Caenorhabditis elegans: one gene and its partner. The protein of the gene in region 1 purifies or fractionates together with the protein of each later gene. This does not show direct contact. Each region holds a gene or a part of one and is shown in the gene's direction. Other genes may lie near its edges.

Evidence for each region. Proteins that work in one complex are often made in the same cells at the same time.
Region 2: the proteins of tdrd-3 (region 1) and smg-6 fractionate together in Caenorhabditis elegans (co-fractionation; one large-scale study listed by BioGRID). This does not show direct contact.

The regions. Positions count from the first base shown.
Region 1 is NC_003283.11:939,200-946,842, reverse strand, and holds tdrd-3 (Survival of motor neuron-related-splicing factor 30), read left to right. Parts: upstream 1-1,598; coding exon 1,599-2,130; intron 2,131-3,812; coding exon 3,813-4,328; intron 4,329-4,386; coding exon 4,387-4,446; intron 4,447-5,702; coding exon 5,703-6,218; intron 6,219-7,006; coding exon 7,007-7,200; 3' UTR 7,201-7,452; downstream 7,453-7,643.
Region 2 is NC_003281.10:2,471,891-2,476,867, forward strand, and holds the start of smg-6 (PIN domain-containing protein), read left to right. Parts: upstream 1-1,977; 5' UTR 1,978-1,990; coding exon 1,991-2,350; intron 2,351-3,451; coding exon 3,452-3,607; intron 3,608-4,219; coding exon 4,220-4,977.

The DNA.
Region 1 (7,643 bases):
TTGCCACGTGTGTGTAACAATAATTGATACAAAAAACCCCAAATTTGACCAATTTTTTTTGAATTTTTCAAACATTTTAATGTACAGACCTTATATAAATCATATATTTTTGTTTTATAATTGAATTTTTTAAAAAAATTTTTTTGGGTTTTTTATAATCCCAATAATATTTATTTTGTTGAATTTTATATTCAAACCCTAGAGAAATTGTTTTCTAAAAGTTTTTTATGGAAAAGTTTGAATTTCGCGCATTTTTTCTTTAAAAAATACACATTTTTGAGTTTTTTTTTAAATTCCTCTTCGGGATTTTCTCAAATTTAGTACATTTATTTAACAAAATAATTTTTCGACTCTAAAAGTTTAGAATTTAAAAATATTGACATTTTCTGAATATTTTGGAATTTTCAGAGCATTCCAATAAAAATCACTACTTTAATTTTTCAAAAAACCTTGAAAAAGTTGAATTTTATTAAGTTTTTAAACTCAAATTTCTTAAGTTTTTTTATTCCAGAATTTTTTTTTAATCTTCTGATAATTGAAATCTTTATTTTTTGAAGAAATACTCGAAATTTTGAAAAAAAATAATACATCAATTTAATTTGTTATGCTCTGAAAATTCCTATTTGCTTGATATTTAGAACATTTCAAAAAAATTTTTTTTTCAAAAGTGGAAAAATCCTAAATCCATTTCTCAAACTTCATATTGAATTTTCCGCAAAATGAGAACTGCGACCAATCAGCGATTCGCTCCGCCCATTTTTGAACCAATCAGAGGGAGTGTGCGGAGTTCGAAGATGCTGATTGGTTGAGAGTTTCGCCAATTTAGAATTAAGCCAGAACTTCCTGTTTTGAACCAATCAGCGTCTTCGAACTCCGCCCACTCATATGATTGGTTAACAAGGGGGCGGAGCAAATCGCTGATCGGTCGTAACGAGAAAATGAACCAAATGTAAAAAATCACGTTTTTAAAAGTTGTATTTTTCATTCTTTCGGAATTTTTGGATCAATGAATGGAAAATCGCCGGAATTGAAAATTTCCGGCAAAACGGCAAATTGCCCGATTTGAAAATTTCCGGCAAAACGGCACATTGCCGGAATTGAAAATTTCCGGCAAAACGGCAAATTACCGGAGTTGAAAATTTCCGGCAAAACGGCACATTGCCGGAATTGAAAATTTCCGGAAAACGGCAACTTGCCGAAATTGAAAATTTCCGGCAAAACGGCAAATTGTCGGAATTTAAAATTTCCGGCAAAACGGCAAATTGCCGGAATTGAAAATTTCCGGCAAAACGGCAAATTGTCGGAATTTAAAATTTCCGGCAAAACGGCAAATTGCCGGAATTGAAAATTTCCGGCAAAACGGCAAATTGCCGGAATTGAAAATTTCCGGCAAAACGGCAAATTGCCGAAATTGAAAATTTCCGGCAAACCGGCTGATTTGCCGAAAATTTGGCAATTTGCCTAATTTGTCGACGAAAAAAATTTGCCGGCCACTCCTGATTTAGAGCATTTCAAAAAAGAAAAAAAACAATTTTTGTTGAAAAATTAGAAATTTTCTTCTGCTCCATATCCAAATTCTATTTCCCATAATATTCCAGATGGATCAACTTCGAAAAGACGGCTGGTACATCAACGAGTCACAAACCTCGCAGCTCTTCGACGATGAGCTCCTACCGAAAAATGGCTCGGAAATTGAAAAAGTGATTCTCAACGAGGATCTGCGAAATTTCGGTGAAGCAAGTATAATAAATTTGCTCAAAAAGGAAGATTTCGTATTCGAAGGCCCGTGTGTCCTCCAACTACTTCGTTATCGAAATGTGTCAGTGCCACGTATCAAGGAAGAGCTCAATCAGACAGATCCGGCTCACTCAATAATTCGTCTTTTCTTCACCGATGGACATTCTTCAATTTCGGCGCTTTTGCTTCAGTCGATTCCTGGAATCACTTCAGACACACCACCAGGAACCAAGATTTTGATATTGGGAAAAGTTGATGTTGAAGGAGGATTTTTGATTTTGGGGAAGAAGGATATACGGATTTTGGGTGGAAAGGTTGATGAGATGATTGAGAAATGGAATGTGGAAAAGAGTTCGGTTAGAGCTGGTGGATTCAAGTCAAGTGTTGGGAAAGGTAGATATTCGGAAAAAATATTGATTTTTCTGAAGCAAATTTTTTTAAAAATTGAATTTTCTGAACTTTGACAAAAAATATAATTTTTAGTTAAGTTAACAGTTAATTAACAAAAAAAACATTATTTTAAATATTACTCGAATACAAAATTCTGAAAATTTGATTTTAAAAATGAGCGAAAAAAAACTAAATTTTTTTTTCCCAATAATTTTTTTAACAATAATTGTTTCATTGAAAATTTTTAATGAAAAATACCAGATAATTTTCAATTTTTCGAAAGTTTTTGACAAGCAAAAATTTGTCAAAGAATTCAAAAAAAAATTCAGGTTCTTTCGAAAATTTTGAAAAACCGAAAAAAATTGTTTTTACTGTTAAAAATTTAGTATGAAAATTCCAAAATTTAGAAAATCCCAATCTGAAAAATTAGATTTTTTTTTCGATTTTCTTTGAAAATCGAAAATATAATGTTTAGAAAATTAATTTAAAAAAATTCTACATTTTTAAATTTCAATTTTTTTTAAATTGAAAATCGAAAAATTCTCGAATTTTTGCTTTTTCAAATTGAAAAAAAAAACGAATAAATTTCTAGTTGTCCTCTCGGAGTTCACTACTTTCGATGGATTATTACAAGATCACAAAATTCTGAGAATGCGTATTGCACAACATATTTGACACGCAAAATATCTCGAACCAAAAACTACAGTAATTCTTTAAATGGCTACTGTAGCGCTAGTGTCGATTTACGGGCTTGATTTTCGGAATTTTGTACGAATGAATTAACATTTTTTTCAATTCGAAAATCAAGCCCGTAAATCGACACAAGCGCTACAGTAGTAATTTAAAGGACTACTGTAGTTTTCGCTACGAGATATTTTGCGCGTCAAATATGTTGTGTAAAACGCATTCTCAGAATTTTGTGTTTTCGTAATAATATTTCGTCCTAAAATAAAAACTAATTAATTTTGGTTGAAAATTCTTTAAAAAAATTTTTTTTTAAATTATTTTTTAATTTTTTGAGTATGAATTTTTTCGAAAACACTTTTTCTCTAAATTTTATACCAAAAAAATTAATCTTTTTTTTTCGATTTTTTGGTTAAAATAACAAAATAATTTTTATACAAAAACATTAAAAAAAAATTTTTTTTTTTGAATTTTCGCCCTAAAAAATTTTTTTTTTAATTTTGGACGACCAATTTTCTACTGAAAAAAGGTTTAAAATAAAAATTTAAAAATTTAAGACCAAAACAGTACTGCAAACGTTATTTTAAAATGAAAAAAAAAACTTGAAAAAATTGTCTGAATTTCGGGCAAAAAATTATTTCATTCCAATTTTTGGCCAAGAAGCAATAAATAAAAAAATTCAAATTTGTAACAAAAAATAAATTATCCAAAAATTAACCTTTTTATAAAATTAAATTACCCATTTCAACCGAAAAACAAATAAAATTTCGAATTTCGGACAAAAACTTTGAAAAAAGAGCAAAAAAATGGGCGGAGCTGAGATTTTCATCAAAATTTACACGATTATAAAAATACAATAAATTTCTGAGAATAGGTAGGAATTCAAAAAGACTTTTGAAAACTTGCATAAAACTGCCTATCGTTCTCAAAATAACAAATTTGAGGCAGGTAGGCAGGCAGGCGGGGGCGGTAGGCACGTAAGCCAATAATTTTTTCTCCAGGAACCGGTGCCCCAAAATGGATATCCTTTGGAAAACGTGGACAGAAAGGTCAACTGGAGAAGGGATTTAAGGCGAATAGTGTGATGCCAAAAACTCAAAAAGAAGGAGAAGACGCTGACGATGATTTCTCGAAGAATCGAGCTGAAATCCTAAAGGATTTGGATTCCGACACGGCGAAGACATTCGCAAAACCGAATCTTGCTCCACCACCAGTAAAAGCTCCAGCTCCACCGAAAGAGCGGCGAGTTCCGGCCGCCAGGCCGGCCCGAAAAGGCCGCGGCCGGAAGAATAGTGAAGATGGGCCGGACGTGGATGTTGGAGAGTACGCGAATCACAAGCCAAGTGGGCCGGCGACACTTTTCGATTTTATCGGTGGAGGAGCCGGAGCCGGAGCATCTGAGAAGGCTGTGGAGCTTCTTCCTCCGCAAAATGTACAGCATTTGACTGAAAAAATGGGAAAATTGAATGTGAAAAATTCGGAGAATTTCAAATATCCAGGTGCAGGTGGTAGGCGAGGTAGGCGATTCGAAAAAAAAAATTTTTTTTTGGAGAAAATAATCCGGAAAATTTTCAGATCAGCGACCAGCAGCAGCCCGTGACGATAACCGTGGCCCGAAAAATTCTGCTCCGCAAAGTAAATCAGATTTTCGAAAATTTTTGAATATTCCAGAAAATTGAAAAAAAAAAACTAAAATTTTCGATTTTCCGCTATCGCGGATTTCTGGCTTACCTCATAAATTGAAATGGAAGAGTTTGCCGAACTAGGCCATTTTGGCTTGGTGATATCTGGTGTAGATTTACGGCGCGTTGCGTGTCGCGTCGCGGCTCGTTTTTGGTTGTAAAACTAAATGAATTTGTCCGTGTGGAGTACACGATACTTTCTCACGCGTTGTCCGGCAGGCGATTGTCAATGGAGCGCAAAAAATTCAATGAGGAAGGTTAGAACCCCGTGCGCTATTCAAAAAAAACGAAAAAATTTGAGTTTTCACGGGGTTCTTTGCCTTCCTCATTGAATTTTTTGCGCTCCATTGACAATCGCCTGCCGGACAACGCGTGAGAAAGTATCGTGTACTCCACACGGACAAATACATTTAGTTTTACAACTAAAATCGAGCCGCGACGTGACACGCAACGCGCCGTAAATCTACCCCAGATATGGCCGAGCCAAAATGGCCTAGTTTGGCAAACTCTTCCATTTCAATTTATGGGGGAAGCCAGAAATTCGTTATTTTCTGGAAAATCGAAAAATCGGGGAAAAAAAATTCGATTTTCCGGATTTTGGAACGAAAATTCTCAGAAATAATTACTTTTTTGAAGAAATTTTTAAAAAATCTTTTTAAGTTAAAAATCGAATTTTATATTATAGAAGCGCAGAAAAAAGTCGTTTTGAAATGAAAACGCGCTCCAGGGTCAATTAAAAACGCTCCGCCCCCGAGTCATGGGTCTCGTTAGGTAATTGGCGGAAAAATCGTAAAAATTCAAACATTTTCAATACGTTTTGCCGATTTTTAAGCATTTTTTTGTTATTTTTGTTGTGATTTTCTCGGTTTTTATTGATTTTTATGCCGAAATGATCTTTTTTAGACTTGATCTCATCAATTTCGGCATGAAAATCAGTAAAGACAACGGAAAACGTAATAAAAACTGCAAAAAGTCCTTGAAAATTGTCGAAATATTTGAATTTACGGTTTTGCCGCCAAATACCTAACGAGACCCATAGCTCGGGGGCGGAGCGTTGAAAATTGTCCGTGGAGCGCGTTTGCCTTCGATTTGAATCTATGATACTGTAACATGTGTGAAAATTTCAGTTTTTGGGTTTTTAGCGAAGAAAACAATTTTTTTTCAAAATCCGACCTAATAAAGAATTTTTAAAAAAATTAAAATTTTCAGATCAGCGCCCAGCAGCAGCCCGTGACGGTAACCGTGGCCCGAAGAATCCTGGCCCACAAAATAGAGCAGCCGACTATTTTCGAGATCGCGATCGTCAGCAGCGTCCGAGCACAGGCTCAGTAGGCCAGCAGCCTAGAGAAGTATCTAGAAATTTCCAGAATTCGCCTAGAAGCTTCAATCAAAATTCGAATCAAGGGCATCCACGTGGAAATCAGAAGAGTTTCCAGCAAGGAGCGCCTCATCAGACGCCACGTGGAAATCAAGGGAACTTCCAGCAACAAGGCCCGCCACGTGGCACCGGAAACTATTTCTTCCAGCAGGGACCTCCACGTGGCGGCCAATTTCACGGAGGATCTCAACAGGGACCACCACCACCACCACCATCACAGCATCATCCACGTGGCTTCCAACAACAGGCTCAACAAAATCCACCACCACGTGGAAATAATCAAGGGCAATCCTATCATGGAGCTCCACGTGGAATGGGAAATTTCGGGCATCAAGAGCCGAGAAATGGTATTACGAAGACATAAAATTCTGAGAATGCGTACTGCGCAACATATTTGACGCGCAAAATATCTCGTAGCGAAAAGTACAGTAATCCTTTAAATGACTACTGTAGCTCTTGTGTCGATTTACGAGCTCGAGAAAAAATATTTTCGAAAAACGAGTTCGTAAATCGACACAATCGCTACAGTAGTCATTTAAAGGATTACTGCATATTTGACGCGCAAAATATTTCGTAGCGAAAACTACAGTAATCCTTTAGATGACTACTGTAGTCGATTTACGGGCTCGATTTTCGAAGTGAAAAATATTAATTCATTCGTAATTTCGAAAATCGAGCCCGTAAATCGACTACAGTAGTCATTTAAAGAATTACTGTAGTTTTCGCTGCGAGATATTTTTGCGCTTCAAATATGTTGTTTAATACGCATTCTTAGAATTTTGTATTCCAGTAATACGGGCTCCATCGAAAGTTGTGAACTCCGAGAGGACAACTAGAAATTTAGGCGTTTTTTCGATCAAAAAAGCGAAAATTCGAGAATTTTTTGATTTTCAGCTTAAAAAAAAGGAAATTTTGAAACTAAATTGTTTAGAATTTTTTTTTGGTTTTTCAAAAATTTTTAGAATTTAAAACTATCGAAAAATTGGAAATTCTTTGGAATTTGTCGAAAAAAAAGTTTTCATGTAATTTTTTGGAAAAAATGAATTTTTCGATCAATTTTTTTATAGCAAAATAGATTTTTTTAAGTCAAAAATGTGCAAAAATACATTTTTTTTAAATTTTCATTCAATTTCAGTTCAACAATCCCACCAACAACAGACCGGTGGCCCCCAATGGCGTGTCGGAGCTCAGTGCCTTGCCACGTGGACCGACGGCAATCTCTATCCGGCGACCGTGACCGAGCTTCTGCCGAATCGCACGGCCATCGTTCGATACAACGAGTACGGAAATATGCACACAATTCCTGTCGATTTTTTGATTATTCCATAGCTGTGTGTTATGTATTTTTACACTAAAAAGTTCAAAAATGTCTCAAGTTTAGAAAAAATCACAATTCTCTCCAAAATGTGCACTACAACCAATCAGCGATTGGCTCCGCCCACTTTTGGACCAATCAGCGGATTTTTGTGTTTTTTTCTGAATTTGGGAACTTTTTTGGACTTTTTTTAAAATCAAAATCCCTATTACTCCACGTTTAGGCATAAAAGAATTTCATAAAGGAATCATAAAGTTTGGAAGACGAAAATATTGACAACGTAATAGTCATGGTAGGAAAGATATTGAGAGAAAAAAATGAAAAAGAATAACCATTGGGAAAGAAATTGTAGACCGTTGGGAAAGAAAAAAGGGAAATAAAAGTAAAAAGTGAAAATTGTGTAGGCGTGAGGTGAGGAGAGAGGAGATCTAAAACGTCAGCCGTGATCGCAGACCCT
Region 2 (4,977 bases), on another chromosome or scaffold:
TAACGTCTAACATTCTAAAAAACCTCCACAGCGAACCCCTTCCATTCCCACGGTCCTCTTCTTCTCCGCCAAAGGTCATACTCATCTTCCCATAGTCCGCAATTACACCCCCTCCCCCCTCGACGCACAATTGCGTACCCCACCCTCCTCTCAGCGTCTCCAGCCGTCATCCCTTTTCTCTGCCCAATTCATATCACACATTTTCTCTTTCTCTCTTCCCATTCACTCTTTTCTTTTCGTTCCCTGTTTTTTTGTTACAATGCACGTGTGTGTTTATACTGCTCTCTGAGGGAGAAAAAATCAGTAAATATATCATTTCTGTGAGGTCCGTTTTTTTTTAGTCCAAATAGGCTGTAGTAGGCTGAAAAAGCTTACTTTAATTACTATATTAATCGAAAAAGAACGTAAATTGACAACATTTATTGCTCAAATTTGAAAAATTGCTGCATTTTTGAGCATTGTAATTAATTACAACACACATATATATATATAATTTTAAAAAATGACGAAATTTAATTTTTGAGCAAAAAGAATTGTCAAATTTCGTTTTAGTAGTACTTTTGTACTTTTGTTTAAAATCCCAATTAGAAACGTTACTTTGAAAACTACCATATTCTTGAATTTTTTATTTCAAATTTCGGTTATAAACGCTATTTAATTCCCAATTTCCAATGAGCCTCTACTAGAGTCTTCCCCAATTAGAAATCGATACCGAAAATTCCATTGTTACCCCCCATGTACTTTCCCATGTCTCTATTTGATGGGTGGCTAATCAAACAATTACCCCTTCCCTCCCCCCACCCCGCCGACGTGTATGTTCTGTTTAGCTTAACAGAAGGTACCCGCTCCACCAGTGATAAGAATTGTTTCACTGTGTTGTATGTGTTTGCATTTCGGAACAGGAAAACGTTTGGTGGTGGGGGGACATAAAAGTTACATAAAACTTTTTTTTTGTTACTTTGCGAAAATCGAAATAAAAGTAGCGATCTTGTGATATCGGAGAAATTTAGGGTTTACTAGTATTCTTGGGAGGGAAAATCTCAAAAAATCCGAATTTCCAGACCCAAAAGGCCCTTAATTTATATAAAGTATGGTTTTCAGAACTTAATAGCTTGGTTTTAACTATTCATATTAGTTTCAGCCTAAAAATATGACATTTTTTAAAGTTTTAACCAAAAAGTTTCTCGTCGAACCTATGAGTTTTCCCACGTGGTGTGGTAGGTTGTAACGGTGTGATCTACAAAAATGCGGGAATTTTTTTCCCCAAAAAATGTGATGTCAGCACAGTGTTAACCATGCGAAATCAGTTGAGAAGTCTGCGGCTAAATTCGCGCATTTTTTGTAGATCTACGTAGATCAAACCGATATGGGGCATTCTGACATCACACCAATTTTCAGCTTTTTCCTGGATTTCTAGGTACAAAATTGAAGTTTTCAACGCTTTTTTGGAGATTCCCACGGATTTTTAGCTATTTTCAACGGCGGTTTTCGGTTTTCCAACACCCACAGCTTTAGAAAATGCAAAATCCCGTCTAAAATCTAGAGGAATGACGAATTTTTGCGAAAAAATCTGTTTATCCTCTGCTCATCCCCTCGTAAAGCCCGCTGTCAACACCTTTTCTTAATTAAATTTTTTTGCTCCAACTCCGTTCTCACGTGGTGCCAGGCTGTCCCATTACGGTTTGATCTACAAAAAAATGCGGTTTTTTTTGCCCAGAAAAATGTGAAACCATACAAAATCAGTTGAGAACTCTGCGCCTCTTCTCCCGCATTTTTTGTAGATCTACGTAGATCAAGCCGAAATGAGACACTTTGACACCGCGTGCTTTCTCTTCAATTATAGCTTTTTCTCCTGAACTTTTGCAGTTTTATAGCGTAGGTAGGCAGGCAGGTAGGCATGCCTGAATCTGTATTTTCCTTTTTTTGTATGTTACATGCTTCTCTTTTATGATATATCTCAAAATTCCAAATTTCCAGCTCACCAAGCAAAATGAACGGAGACACAGACGCCTCGTCATCTAGGACGGGAGCTCCACGAAAACCGCGCCCAGAAATTCAAATCTACCGTCCAGGAATGCTCCGCCAGGGAGGGAGCACGAAAAGCTTGAGCTCTACGAACGAAGAAGCACGACCACCACGCCCGGAGAAGTTGAACACAACAACGACGACGATGTCGGGCAATTCCAGACGAAGAAGCAACGATACGGACAGTGTGACGTCACGTGGTGGATCTGGAAGTACGACGCCCGATGCAAATGTGATTAATGCCATGAATGAGCGAGGTGGAGGAAGGAATCGATTTGAGAAAGGCTATCGACAACAACAGAGAACAGATGGGCCATCGAATTATGTAAGTTTTTATCTTATCGCTCAAAAACCAAAAGTTCTACCCTAACACTACAGAAAAAAACTGAAATTACCTAAAACCCTCAAAAAATTTTGGAAAAATTCATTATCTAGCACGGGGAAACGGTGTCAGAGTGCCTCATTTTGACGTGATCTTCGTGGATCTACAAAAAATGCGGGAGTTGAGACGCAGAGTTCTCAACTAATTTTGCATGGTTAAGAACGTGCTGGCGCCACATTTTTGGTAATAAAAATTCCCGTATTTTTCGTAGATCAAACCGTGATGGGACATCCTGACACCACCCTCAGCAAATTTTGAAAAACTAATATTTTAGCATGATAAAAGCCCCAAATTCAGCTGAAAATGTCTCAAAATACCTTAAAAGCACTAGAAAACGACTTGAATTAACGGAAAATCTTAAAATCTATGGCAAAACTGATATTTTTACGGGAAAAGCCAAAAATTTTCAGTAAATCTCTCGAAACCCAAAGTCTTCACTATGAAGTAGCTGAAATTGACTGAAAACCCTCAAAAATTGTTTAAAAACTCATTATTAGCACGAGAAAATACCTTAGTTGGCTGAAAATCCCCAAAAACGCCAAAAATCCAAATATTTAACTCTAAAGCCACTGTGGAACGGCTGAAGGTAACTCAAAATCCTCAAAATTTGAGAAATCACGTGGTATCAAGTTGCCCCATAACGGTTTGATCTACAAAAATGCGGGAATTTTTTGGCCAAAAAATGTGACGCCAGCACGTTCTTAACAATGCGAAATCAAATGAGAACTCTGCGTCTCTTTTCCCGCAATTTTTGTAGAACTACGTAGATCAAGCCAAAATTGGAGACTCTGACACCACGTGAGATCACGTATTTTGGCTCTGGAATTTAGCTGGAAAAGGTCTCAAATTCTCATGAAACCCGACTGAACCCAACTTCAAACTGGCTGAAAACTTATATTTTGTCTCGAAGACTCCAGGAAAAAAGCTAAGAATTGCTCAAGATTGAACTCAAATCCCCAGAACTAGACAAAAGTCTGAAATTGACTGAAAAGTTGCACACCCCTACAAATGTCCCAAATCCCACGAAAACCATTCCAATTCCAGAATTCCACACAATCCCTCTACGACACACGGCAACATGGTGGCTATATGGAGTACCAGGGCAACCACCGATCGAATCACCGGAATAATGGGAGATACAGTAACCAGCAGCATCAGCAGCATCGGCAACCGTTCGAACGACCCGGCGGAAATCATTATGTAGGTTATCAGGTTTTCTTAATGGAAGTGTCTGGGGGGGAGAAGGGGTGAATTAATTAGAATTAATGGGATGTGTGGGATGTGAAGTGATCAGTAAGGTATGATGGGAATATGGAAACTTTAGGAAAAAAGAAATTTTGGGGAAAAAGAGATAAATCGCTCAAATTCTAGTCTAAAACTGTAAAACTTAGTAGAAATTGTACCAAACAGCTGAGAAAAGCTTTAGAAATTAGCCCACTTCAAGAAAATTCACGTCTAGTACAGAAAGCTAGAGATTTTATCAATCTGGACAGTTTTCCATACAAATTCGAGGTTTTTACTGGTGAAAACTGTCAGAATTTGAGAAATTTGACAATCTGAACTTAGAATTACGTTTAATACCGCCTTAAGAAGGCATGATACCGTTTCGAATTGTAAAACTCTGAACAACCTTAGAAAATTGTCCGTTCTCGAAAAAAAACATAAATTTTTGCGGAAATCACCATTGAGTACGATAGTCAAGTACGCAAACACGACGCGCATTTACAAAATTGCGTATCAAATATTTTTTGAGCTAAAGCTTTTTTTGTTCAAACAACCAAACTTTTAAAGCTAAATCTTTTCAATTTCCAGACCCGCGGCTTCAACGAGCGAGCTTCCATGCGCGGGGACGGCGCCATCGCCCGACGTCCTCAAGGATCCCGTCGCCAACGCAACGATTCCATCAACTCTACCCAATCAGAAATGCCACCTCAAACCGGTGCTCAACTTCACATTGACACCTCATTCGACTCGGCATCTCAGTGTGGAGCCTCATCGAATTTCTCGATGAATTCCCTTGGCGAGGCGTTCAGTTTCGAGGAAATGTGCCAGAACCTGCAGAATTTCGCGTCGATGGATTGGAGTAAAGAGGTGGAAAATGAGTTTGCAATGCAGAAAGAGCAGGAGGAAGAGGAAGAGCGACGGATGGAGCAGAAGCTTCAAGAAGCTGCTGCTCAGGAAGCTCAGAAAGCGGCGTCTCCGAGGAGAAATAACCGAAGGAATAATCGAAGAGGTGGAGGCAACAGTCGGTACCATCCCGATGAATCCGACAGAGAAAGCTCGTTCGGTGGAAGTATCGCCGAGGAAAAAGAGGAAGAAGAAGCCGAGGAAGAGCTCAAAAGTGGTGAGAGAACTCCGACTTCTGTGCGAAGCGGCAACTCTTATAATCCACGTGTTCTGTACCAGAGAACACGTGGAGCCAACGACGAGAACCATCCGAAACGAAGAGACGCCGCCGTGGAGAAGAAGCCGAAAGAGCCGAGACGGTACCGCGGTGAGCATGACGATCGGGATGATGATGCTTCGGAGTATCATGGAACGCTGGAGAACCATATGTCGTCGGGACGTCT